Bombyx mori: one gene and its partner. The protein of the gene in region 1 binds, or shares a complex with, the protein of each later gene. Links are inferred from orthologs where the notes say so. Each region holds a gene or a part of one and is shown in the gene's direction. Other genes may lie near its edges.

Region 1 (8,937 bases):
GGGTGGTCAGAATGGTGGTGTACTTGTATACAACGGGGGCCTCGGATTGTTGGAGCAGAACGAGATATTCGATAATGCGATGGCCGGTGTATGGATTAAGACTGATTCAAACCCAACGCTCAAGAGGAATAAGATCTTCGACGGACGTGACGGGGGCATTTGTATTTTTAATGGTGGGAAGGTGAGATTATTAATAGAGAATTTAGTTTATGTTTTGTAAATTTTAAAAACGAGATACATAATTTTTGTAGAATATTCAAGATTAAAATCTGATTTTAGCATCATGAATTGAATCTTAATCAGACAAATTTAGATTCAGTTGTAATAAATTAGACATTTTGTCCTTTAAATAAAATAAAAAAGCAAATGATGGAAGGGCGTTATTGTTTTCAATAACATATCCCTTGATTGAATTGATTTTAATCAATTAATCAAACACAAATTTGAAGTATAACAGTTTGCAGCAATAAATATAAAAATCCCAACCATCAGCAGACTTAACCTTAAAATAACCTAATAGATATTGATCTGTTTCTGATCTTACAATCTTTACAACTGGTAACTTAGTACTTAGCTTTAATCTAATCGTCTATGTATGTATAAACATACATAATATCTAATATCTATCTATAAATAGGCAAACACGAAACAGTTAAACACCATCATTTTCTCCTGTTTGTTGTGGGTGTCAGTAATTATATTGAAATTTCCTCCATAGTTGGTGATTAATTAATTGGCTTTGGTTACTATTTAACGTGAGCTCGTTCACTCATACAAAATTAAAATTTTATTTTTATTGTCATTACAATTAAATATTACATATTTAACAACAAATTTGCTGTATATCCTAGTTATGAAGTAGTAGTATCTTACAAAAATAAGCTATTTGTTTACAGGGAGTGTTAGAAGAGAATGACATATTTCACAACGCGCAAGCAGGCGTCCTGATCTCAACGCAGAGCCATCCAGTATTACGTCGGAACAGAATCTTTGACGGACTGGCCGCCGGTGTCGAGATTACTAATAATGCAACCGCCACCCTAGAACATAATCAGATATTTAATAACAGATTCGGAGGTAACTTCTTTTATATTCTTGTATACTTAATGCTTTGTCCTTTGAGAAGTTGTAAATGGGCTTTCTTATACATTATAAGTTTGCGCTCTTGCCATGTGAAATGTGCAAGAAATTTTCAAAATAGTTGAAGCGAATTAGATGTAGTTCAGTAGAGAAAATATGAAAGGAAATGCTTTCCATTGAATGGGGTGCATTATTCTGTAAACTGACTGAATGTTGTTATTTCGAACTTGTGTGTTAGTAGAAAATGTTTTAGCCCAATTGAGGTTTTTCTATCTATATTATATATATATATTAATGAATTGCTGTTCGTTAGTCTCGCTAAAATTTGAGAACGGCTGGACTGATTTGGCTAATTTTGATCTTGAATTATTTGTGGAAGTCAAGAAAAGGTTTAAAAGGTAGATAAAAATGAAAATGTTCTGAATTAAATAAAAATAGCAATTTTGTTTTTGTTTGTTTTAAGTTTATTTTATACAAAAGCTTAGGACTTTTATTTATCGTTTGAGGCACTACGAAGTCTGCCGGGTCAGCTAGTTCTGTAATAATTACCATTACAGTTAAAATATTGTTCAATTGACATAAAATATATCTTAAAAGAATATCATTAAATATTAATAAGACTGATATAAAATTGTTTTTTTGTTATTTGCAGGCCTGTGTCTGGCTTCTGGCGTTACTCCTTTAGTTAGGGGAAATAAGATATTCAGCAACCAAGACGCCGTTGAAAAGGCTGTCGGCGGTGGACAGTGTCTCTACAAAATCTCTTCTTATACTTCCTTTCCGATGCACGATTTCTATAGGTAAGAAAAATCATGGTCTCTGGATGAATTTTTCATTAAACTCTTTCTTGTAGGTCACTAAATTATATAATAGTTCATGAGCATTAAATGCAATCGAGCTGTGTCTATCAGTTATAATATAAACATCATTTTCCATAATTCAATGTAAGTTAGCAATTTTTAGTAGTTAAAATAGCCAGACAATCTTACAACTCAATTTGAATGCTGCTTCTTAGATTCCGCATCTTAGATTAGACCGAAATGTCTCGTGCATTAGTACAACAGCTGTTCGACATTTTAAAGCAGAATATTTAGATTACTTCGCGACAGAAATAACTAATGGTACTCACCAGCGCCGGTTTGGATCTAGAATTTAATATAGGGACTTTCGAAAATGATGAAGATATTCCTCTTAAAGACATATGATATGGGTGGTAATACAGATTTTTCGAATAAAACAACCGTTACGACACTGATACTTTTTTTTTTGTTGCCGTAGTTGCCGTAGATATCAGTCCTTTAAGCTGTGTCAACTTATTTTGTATATTTATTTAGGTGCCAGACGTGCAATACGACAGACCGCAATGCAATCTGCGTGAACTGCATCAAAACGTGCCATTCCGGTCATGACGTCGAATTTATTCGTCATGACAGGTAAGTCTATCTATAGGTCTATACATACATACAAATCTACGTAAAGTATTAGTTTTTAAGAGTAAATTCAAAGAAAAAAGAAGGGGATACAATAACAAAAAAAAAACGACCATTTCATGAATAAAATAATTCATATATTTCAGTTTTATTTTTGACCCCATCCACTTTGAGATACGAGATCTCAGATCTCAGTATAGTTACAACAGCTGCTCCACCCTTCAAACCCAAACGCGTTACTGCTTCACGGCAGAAACAGGTAGGGTGGTGGTACCTACCTGTGCGGACTCACAAAAGGTCTTGGCACCAATAAATAAATCTATTGGGATAGAAAACTGAAGTAATTTTCGAGATACCTTAAATACATTGTACGGTTTAGTATAAAGTTTTTTTATTTTATTTTTTCATTGCTTGAGCTCACTCCACTCAACTAACTAATAAAAAAAAAAGCATAACCATTTTGCCTATTTCTGCCCTGAAGGAATCATACAAACATAATCGAGACTTTTATCTCATCTGTTAAAGTCTCGTTTACATTGTTCAGTCTATGAGTTCTTGTGATCAATATTTTTGAAAATATATATTTTTTTATTGCTTAGATTGATGGACGAGCTCACAGCCCACCTGGTGTTAAGTGGTTACTGGAGCCCATAGACATCTACAACTTAAATGCGCCACCCACCTTGAGATATAAGTTCTAAGGTCTCAAGTATAGTTACAACGGCTGCCCCACCCTTCAAACCAAACGTACCCACACATACCCACAAACGTACGTTGCACGATTTAGTATAAAGTTTATGTTGTCTGTCGAAGGTTCTTCTGCGACTGCGGCGCGGGCACGCTCTCGAACCAGTGCCAGCTGCAGGGCGAGCCCACGCAGGACACGGACACGCTGTACGACTCGGCCGCACCCATGGAGTCGCACACGCTGATGGTCAACTGATGTCGCCGCCGCAACCCGCACTACTATTTTTTATTACCTAAAACTTCCTAGATGTACGTTCCTACGGGAAGTCGCCGATCTGTCCGGCCGTTTGTCTATATTCGTAATCGCGTTTCGAACGTTGTCGCTGTCTCTATGTGTAGTAAATTTTGTAATCGTCGGTACTTAAAACTTTGTTTCATCGAGTAGTAGTATCGTTGCATTCCCAAATTGTAATCGTACCGTTAGATCAAGATATCACGTTTAGAATAATGCTATTCATTTTGTAAAATTAACTGGTAGTGAGGTACGTAATATCGACTAGTTTGGATAATCGTCGATGTTTTATAATTATTTTGTTATCACCGGAAACTTTATTATTCCCATTTATTTACAATCTGAATGGCGACTCGCTGTCAGGACGGCTGAACATTCATCGATATAAACTGTAAATTTTATCTATTGACGACGATATACTGTATTATTTGTTGGGGCATTCGTTTGGCTATCCTGGCGGCGATGTTTTATCCTTGAGACGTTTTAGTTAATAAAGTGTTAGAAGTGCGCTATGTTTAAATTATGTAAGTTAAGTGTAGTGCGGCCGCGGTCGTGGTGGCACACGCGGCATCTAATTTCTCGTTTAGGAGTCCGCCTTGCCTAACTGTTTCGGCCCTCCTAATGCGCTTTGTAAATATTTATGTCACACAATAATCGAAATGTAGTAATTAATGTATTTGTATCATTATATTTTTATTATTGATCACAATATGTATGTTCGTTAATGTAAGTAACGGTAAGAAGAGTGGGAGCGAGACGCCGCTCGTCAGCTTCGTGTTGGTAAAAGACCACTATTACGTTGAGCCAGTAGATAGTGTGAAAGGAAATGGTCTCTGATATATATATATTCAAATTGAGTACGAATACACAATGCGTATTGAATTGGAGAAGATCTTAGGTACAATTGATATTTTTATTGTTAATTTAAATTTTGGTATTGATATGGATCGAAAAGCAATGCGTGAAACTGGAATGTGCCGTGCGTTAGCGGCCGGAGTGCTGATAGTGATAAGTTAGCCGATAAGCTATAAGAAATCTAAATTACTCAGTAATCACTATTGCAAGTTTCGAATTGTTAAATTATCCTCCATAGCACGGTCTGTTCTGATTCTGCTTTTATAATCCTCAATCTGTGATCATCGCTAAACGTGTTAGTGAACATAAACTTAGTTTAAAACCACGCGTATCAGAATTGACATTATTATTATTAGTTCGTTGAAAGGATAAAATGCTTTATATTATATATTTTGCTCCTACTAATACTGAGATAAAACGAGGATGAATTTACAAGGCAGTTGTTAATTACGTGATTTCTACTTTACATTTAAAAGGCTTAATGTTAAGAATAGCAAAAAATTATTAGTAAAGTTATCTTATACATTAAAGAGAACTTAAATTTTGTTTTCCATTTACCATTTTTTTTTCTTTTACCTTTTCTATCTTTTGTATTTAGCAATACTAATAGTGGTCAGGTGATTAACAACTTTCCGTTAAACTTTAATATATTTGGATGTAAAATTATTTATTAAATTGTCAGTATGTTTTAATTTATTGAACTCAGAACTGGATTTTTTCTACATGAGAATACTACTGTAAAAGCCGTGATATACATAATATAATATTATATATTGGCATTTTATTTACCCTGGCTCTACTTTTTCTTTGTCAATATATATTTCTAGAGTAATAATTTTTGTGATTAAGGGACGCGGTATATATGACATTGGACACAAGATAAATTCAAAATATAGAGATATTCGTAGAACCTCAAAACTAGATATTTTCTAAAGCCAACTATTTTATTTGTCGTTTTGATGTTAGGCTCATAGCTTCGCCCTTGCTTCCCAAGGCTTCAGGCTGTCTATGTATGAGGCATACAAGAAGATCGCCTTTCCGTACTGCCGATCACTGATCAGCTGGCGATCCTCAAGATACTTAAGGAGCTCGATGTTTATGATTCACTTCATCACCTTGCAAAGAAGGAATTTATCACGATATGACTGTAACTCGAGAGGTATGGACCCCGACCGAAGGAGGGTGTCTTCGGGTCTTTTTTTTACATTACCCTTGTAGGCAGACGAGCATATGGTCGACCTGATAAGGAGTGGTCACCGTCGCCCATGGACTTCAGCAATGCCAGGGGCAGAGCTAAGCCGCTGCCTAACGTAATCCGCTTAATGGTAAGTGGTTACCGTAGCTCATAGACTACTAACAAATACTTCAAACCATAGATTAAATACTATTTTTTAATTAATATTATTACTATTCTATCAATGCCTCATTTGAAGAAAAAACAGTATCGATGTCATTATCAAATCCTCATGAGAGTATTGAAGTGCTTGTAGGAAGAGATGTTGACGAGTTGTTTGAAATGATCCCATTAACTTCATTTATATCTCTCCCGAGCACAGTTCAACTATATCATAGATAATAACACTTCATATTTGCTATACTATATTTAATATAACTATTAATGTGATTTAACCCCTGTGCTCATGCGCTATTTCCAAAGATATTTTTTGCCACGTATCAACTGGCTTTGAAATTAAGTTTCTTCCGCAAGATATTTCCTGAGCGCTACCAAGTCCTTCTTCAGAGGTTTGAAAAAGTTGAAAGTAGCTTAGTTGAACCTCTGGCATTGCTGATGTCTGAACACTCGGTGGCCACTCACCATTAAGCATGTTTGTCTACCAAATCGCAATAGTGTTCATTCAAAACGCATCTAAACATGGATTGGTTGATAATGTAATTTTATGGTTGTATTATGAATTTAAACGCGTGATGTGTCACAATGTAAGATATATAGAAATGAAATAGCATGTATTCATTTTTATTTTAATACAAATCAAGATGAGTAGGTAAAGGTTAATTATTTATATATAATATGGCCACTTGATTTAAAAATTATCAAACAATAGTAACTTTACAATATATAATACTATTAAAATGTTTAATTGTATGTTCGTTGGAGTTTTTGTCGCGGTGATCTTCTTTTAGGTGATACATGTACTGCTTTCATCGGGGTATTGGACTTCTTTCCATCTGCAGACTGGACAATAGTTCTTGTAGTTTTACTGGTAATGAGAGACTTTTTTAGGGTTGGTATTTGTGGAGTTCTACACGTAAAGTTTGCCGCATTCGTTTGAGGAGAAGTTACTTTCTTGATTGGCGATGACATCTTATTTGTTCTCCATTCATTATATAGTGAAGACTTGGTAGGCACAAACGGCGCAGCGGGTATATTCTTAATACTTTTCACAGGTGTGATGGGTTCCTCACTGCCATGCATCTTAGGCCTAACAAGAGCGACAGCTTTTTGGGTTCTTATCGGTTGTTGACCACTAACCCTGGGACGCCTCGCAAAGCCGATATTGGCAACTTTTTCATTTCGTTCAGATGATTTATCAGAACTAGATTCGAATAATTTTGCTTTCGCAAGAACTGCTCCGGCGTTTTGCCGCCTGAGTTTGTTCACGGACGGCCTTCCCGTCGTCCCAGAGCTGTCAACTTCGCCGGTCTTGTTCATGAAGAAAGCGGCTGCGCTTCGCCATTTCTGCTGTATTGGACTCTTTTTAGCATATTTGTGTGTGTTTCGATCGACCACGTTTTGATAACAGGGCCTCTGTTCTAAGCTATTCGACTTTCCGCTAGAATCATGCGAATTATTCAACGAAGTTTCCGAAAGCGTATTTTCAAAACTATTATTGCTTGTTAAATTTAATGATCTTCGAGCTTGAATTTTACTAACAGGTTTTTCTCGATTATAATCTGGAGCAAGACTGGTCCGTTTCCTGAGATGATATTTTTTACTACTGTCAGAAGTATTATTGAATGAGTTGTCAGATTCCTCCCAATCAGTGATTTTAATTTTTGGCGTCGTTTTTGCGGGTTTGGCACTTTTCGTTCTTTGACGACTCAGACCGATGTAAGGATAAAACCTATCGGTGACGTGACTAGCTTGAGACTGTGAAGGCACATTCCAAGATTTGTGCCTCACTATTTTTGTAAGGTTTTCTTTCGATCGTCTTCGTATTGAGCCTATTTTCCTAGCACTCGGGGACCGTATAATTTTGGCTTCTTCTGTGGGTCGAATTTTAAGCTCCTTGCTTAATCTACGAGCTAAATTATCTGAACTGGGACAATGAAGCATTGCTACTTCTTCCAGAGTTTGTTCATACACATTCTGTACTTGCTGTAAAGGTTGTATACGTGGCTGTATTGCATCAGTGAATTCCCTTGAGAGTCTGTTCTCGATGGCGGAAACTCTACTTTTGATTTCCTCATATTCTTGTTTGGAAATTCTGACGTAATCTTTCTCTTGTTTCATGTCCGGTGATAAATCGATCGTGTTGTGAGCACTGAACAAATGTTCGGTGGATGTCAACAAGTCCTCGCTACTAATACTGGTTTCTGAATTTTTATGTGAGCTGAAATCTGAGTTTATAATAGGTGTACTCCTAGCGTCCATTAAGCTTAGCCGCAGTCTTTTCCTCTCGATTCCCCTAAAACATCAAATCAAAAAAATTTTATTCAACATAAATGAAAGTACATACTTGTTGAACGTCAAAAGAACTACCGCCAATTCACAAAAACTAGCCTCCGTCCTGAGCAGAACTGGCAAGAAACTCAGCGGGTCTGCCAGAAATGTAAAAAGTTTTGCTTCACGTGTGTTTGAAGGATATTTTTACTTAAACGTCTAGTAACTAGACTCTAGTTGTTAGTATACCACCATTACTTACATCTTCATGGGTGTAAAAGCTAATTCCTTTTGAGGTAGTCCATTGGTTATGTCTTTCCTGGAACATATGTGAATTTTAAATTAGATTTATTATGTTTTTTTTATTGCTTAGTTAGCTGGACGAGCTCACAACCCATCTGGTTACGAGTGGTTACGAGTCCATAGACATCTACAATGTAAATGCCGCCACCCACCTTGAGATATGAGTTCTAAGGTTTCAGTATAATTACAACAGCTGCTGCACCCTTCTAGTCGAAACGAATTACTGCTTCACGGCAGAAATAGGCAGGGTGGTGGTACCTACCCGTGCGGACTCACAAGAGGTCCAACCACCAGTAATACAGCATATTACAGCTACGTCGTCACTTTGAAACTATAATAAAAATAAGAACTTACCTCGTTTTTGCAGACAGTCCCTCATAATTATCGCACTTCCGTTTCGAAGCAGACTTGCTTAGAATTGGAGTTTTACCGCTTTCTCGTACCGTTGCGGGAGTGTGCACGCTACTGGACACCATTTTGCGTAGCCCAGAAATCATTCCTAGAAAAAAGTATATTTATAAATTCTAATTTTTGGGTTGGGAGAAATACTAATGATACTTTCCCACGGTACCATCGCCACTCTTATTGAGGGAATTTAGTCCTCATGGTTTGTGGTTACCATTATTCAGGTTAATTAACCGCCGCCTGTAGCTCGGCGTTGTTGTGAT
Region 2 (4,235 bases), on another chromosome or scaffold:
AATACATAACACTCAGAGAGTATTAACACACAAACGTATAGTCGATCTGGAAGTAAAAACATCGACCCTCAGGTAGCACTCAAGGGCACTGGTTACTGGGCCAGCCAGTCGTGGTCTGTTAAATTACTTTTAGATTAACTAAAATGTGTCACTGTCATTTTTGTGTTTGCAGTTTAGACCTTGCAAAAACAATCGTGGAATTCTGGCAGATTTGACAAGAGTTTCGCGCAATATTATTTATTTTCTGTAGTAAATATTGTAGTAGAAGCACGCAGATCACACGACTACAATATTTACATACACACGAGAACTTTAACTGGGTTCCTAAACAAGTAAAAACCATCAACTTAAGTTCAACAGTATGTACTAGGATCTTCGAAAAATTCGAAGATCCTAGTACAATTTTAGAAGTATTAAGGGTCATAACAACCTTTTCATTTAAAAATATCTTCTCGAGACCATTCATTTAACCTTTGTTAACTTTTGTTAGAAAACAAAACTAAGCAGGGACTGTAATACTCTTAGCTAATCTGATAACCAATTGGATCAATCGACGAGTGGTCTACAGATAATCTGCTCATCTAGAGTAAAAATATTATTGTTCATTCACCAAAATTAAATGTTTTCATCACAATTTCAACATGAAAAGCTTTGCGGTGGGGAAGGACCTGGCTTGGTCAAGTATTTCTGTGGGATATATTCTTAGGTTAATAGTTTTATTGATTTGTCGTAGTTGCTCATGCAGAAAATTTACAAGCTTAATTACCTGAGAAATCAACATTTCAGTACCTAGGCATTGAAACCAGTACACAGATTTATTTAAAAAGCTGGAGATTCCTGCACTTTAGTCTGCATAGGTAGTCCATTAACATGATTTTTATTGTTGTTAATTGATAGAAAACATGGTCTATTTAACAATTAAAATAGTATATTCAATATTTTTATTGGCATACATACAAATGTTACGTTTCTGCCCTAATTAATTCATTTCTATTTATGTTTAATCTACTTGTGTTCCAGAGTCCAGAGTAGCATAAATCTGAATTCACTAAATCCCCTCTGAGTGAATTTGAACGCATCAATACTCAAAAAAGTAACGCCACCTAGCGTCACAGTAGAGTGAAAATGAACACGGTTTTAAGAGTTGCCAGTGCGGATACTTTTCGTCTGATTTAAGGTAATGTGGGACTTTTATGGACAACGATGACGATCGGAAGGTTTTGCGATTGCTATTTATATCTATCATATCCTTGTTTAAAAAAAATCATTAACTATATTAGTGATTGATTGATATTACTTGGTTACTAGGCAGTTTAATGCAAAAGCAATCTTTGGAGAACACCAAACTGAACGCAACCAGTCTTGCTGATTTACAAGGAAATTGAAGTCTATCAAATTGTTTTTTTCAAATAAATTCAAACATCGTTAAAGAAGGCTGACATGTAATATTATGGGTATATGAAAATAAAGTTTTATGGCATAATAATAAAAAATCCTATAAAATCAATAAGGGTTTGGGATTTGTCTAATTTATTTACCGGCAGCACTGCTTCAGTTTTGTTCTCTCTTTTCACTGTTGTTTCTTTTTATTTGAAGTGAGGATGAAATGGTCCAAAATAACAAGGCCTACATGTGTACGTATTGCCGAATTGAATAAAATTTGATGAATCGTGATTGTAAATCGTGGTATAATAAAACAAGCTCAATCGTATCGCATCAAGTACATAAAAAAGTGTAATGTGGTCGATGACAGCGTGAAAACGGGTGCTACGTAAGTATAATCCGATCAATTTACATACCCATTTTAAAACATATCAAAACTAAAAAAATTCGGACGCTTTACGGTAGCGTTATTTCATATCTGTCATGTCACGCTGTGACTGTCAGTGAATTGTCAGGTAGGTAGTCCAAATTACAGAATACAGATGTAGGTAGGTACTTACCTACCTACCTGAAATTGTCAGGCAGAAACCAGTCGCAATATAATGATTAAACGTGTTTGAAATAGCTCATTTAGTGCTTTTAATGTAAAATATAGTGCCATTAGGTTTAACGGGAAGACTAAGCAGGTATGTTGTAATTCAAAAGCTTGAGAGATTATTAAAAAAACACGTTCTCGGTTGCCCTTGTTTGTGTTGCAAAATCTCGATTCCTTTGTCAGATCCAACAACACTTTTACTTTTCGTATCGTTTTTAGCCTTTAATTGCATTTACTTATTATTAAATTCATAAACTCCATGTTAATCTCGCACATCGTTATGCGCAGTTAAGGAAAACGGTAATTTGTTTTTTTTTTTTGTTTATGCTAATAAGACACAGTTTTCTAGTTGAACAAACAGTTATCGTTCAATGAGCACAATACACAACAAAACGTATGTCTGTTATGTCTTCCTATGCTTATCTACACTTTTTCTTTTAAATCTGTTACCACCTGCTTTTTGTTAGTGGCAATATCGAGAAAATAACTAGGTCTTGTTATAAGATTTACATAAATACTTTGTAAAATATATTACATACGAAATTAGAGGTACCAATAAATACTATGTATGTAATATGTGTTACATATGAAATTATAGGGATTCAGTGATGTAAGTTAATAATGGTTGTGCTCAAAGTAAAAAAATATAAGTAGAGTTCTGATTTTGCACAATAAATACAGGAAATGGAGTGCAAAGTGGCTATTTCCAAGGCTAAATGCCCTAAATGTATCAAATCTCTTGCCTTAAATGTAAGTTACCAACTATATTGATTGACTAAATCAAGCTAAGCAAATTCATCTCTTTGTAAGAATATACTTCATGAACTTGTGAGGACATCCCAAGTAGTAATTTGGGAGTTTCTACAGTTGTTCCTAAAGATCATTATTACTTCAGAGCTATGGCATATATTTTTCAAAAGTAATTTAAAGGCAATTCACAATGCTTGTGGCATTGTTGTTCTCTAGGCAATGATAAGGATAAAGATTAATAATAATGATGTTTAAAAAAAATACAATACAAAGAAAAGTTTTTAGGCAGTCTCAAGTAAACGAATATTACAATTCAGTTGGTGCTGTATTTACATGTCGAAATTCATATGAGTATTAGGAAATTGAAATGATAAGTTCTTTTCACGAAAATAATTGCACAACACAAAAAACAATGAACGAAATAATGTACACGTGCATGTAATGTGCTCTGTTTGCTATTCTCTTCAAAATAATAATTGCACAGGAATAAAATAAAATAAATGTATATAAAGACAAATTTACTGAGTCTGCCTTGCGGATGAACTCTCAACTATGTCTATTTGAAACTGGGTATCGTGATATTGAACCCGTACGGTAGGCAGCGGCTTGGCTCTGCCCCTGGCATTGCTGAAGTCCATGGGCGACGGTAACCACTCACCATTAGGAGACCGTATGCCTACAAGGGCAATAAAAAAAACATACACAATTGCATAAATTAAGTTGACATTGTATTGTTCTTAACTTTCTTTTGTTCATCAATTTCAAATCTTATTGTTTTTTTATCAAAATTGCTTAGGAATAGTGATGGTTAGTAAACTAGTTAGTGTCTAAGCATCTGGACATAAGACTGAGCGATGCACTTCACTGTGTGACTGACAGATTTTGATGCTCAGTATTGAGTGAACTATTGAAAGGGAGAAATTTAGTGACGGTTGTATTGCATACTTGTTCATCTAAGCTAATTGACTACCTGAGAAAAAATGTTTTGTAGTGTGAGGCAGGTTTTTTGCTTAGTATAGCTATTGCGAATCTTAGCTTATCTTGGTTGTGTAGTTCATATTAATCAAGTTGTAACCATAGTACTTCTATTCTATGATAGCTACTGCTACATGTATATACTGCTTCATTTTATTACATTTGCCTCAAATGCTGAGGTCTCAGAAATGTGTAAACATATACATATCGACGTTTGAAAATGCGTGAATTTTACAGTAGACTAATTTAAAGTTGAAATACCTGAAAACAAAATTTATTTTAACGAATCTAGCTGTAGTAGAATCTAGCTAGTAGCTGTAGGATTGAAATAATTTTAATAGACCTAGAAATATTTTTTTTTTTCACATCGAATATGGTTATTGCTTATCATTTATGTACAAAGTAGTTATTGTCGGTTAGTCATGTTTGCCTTTCAAGTGTCGATATTATTCACTAGCGCCTAAAAATCATATTTGAAGACTTAATGAAGATGTTTGGCTTCTGCAAGTGCACCATAATGTACAGGCAGTAT

The links.
Region 2: F-box only protein 11 (region 1) and cullin-1 share a complex: the UniProt entries of both Homo sapiens proteins name them as parts of the SCF(FBXO11) complex. The link is inferred for Bombyx mori from reciprocal best matches to the Homo sapiens genes FBXO11 and CUL1.

The regions. Positions count from the first base shown.
Region 1 is NC_085131.1:4,818,257-4,827,193, reverse strand, and holds the end of F-box only protein 11, read left to right. Parts: coding exon 1-181; intron 182-896; coding exon 897-1,077; intron 1,078-1,732; coding exon 1,733-1,880; intron 1,881-2,414; coding exon 2,415-2,513; intron 2,514-3,323; coding exon 3,324-3,453; 3' UTR 3,454-5,115; downstream 5,116-8,937. Other genes in the region: rho GTPase-activating protein 11A, read right to left, coding at 6,440-7,991, 8,229-8,285, 8,624-8,768. UniProt on the Homo sapiens protein: Substrate recognition component of a SCF (SKP1-CUL1-F-box protein) E3 ubiquitin-protein ligase complex which mediates the ubiquitination and subsequent proteasomal degradation of target proteins, such as DTL/CDT2, BCL6, SNAI1 and PRDM1/BLIMP1.
Region 2 is NC_085108.1:4,460,578-4,464,812, reverse strand, and holds the start of cullin-1, read left to right. Parts: upstream 1-1,435; 5' UTR 1,436-1,771; intron 1,772-1,862; exon of another isoform or gene 1,863-2,069; intron 2,070-4,235. UniProt on the Homo sapiens protein: Core component of multiple cullin-RING-based SCF (SKP1-CUL1-F-box protein) E3 ubiquitin-protein ligase complexes, which mediate the ubiquitination of proteins involved in cell cycle progression, signal transduction and transcription.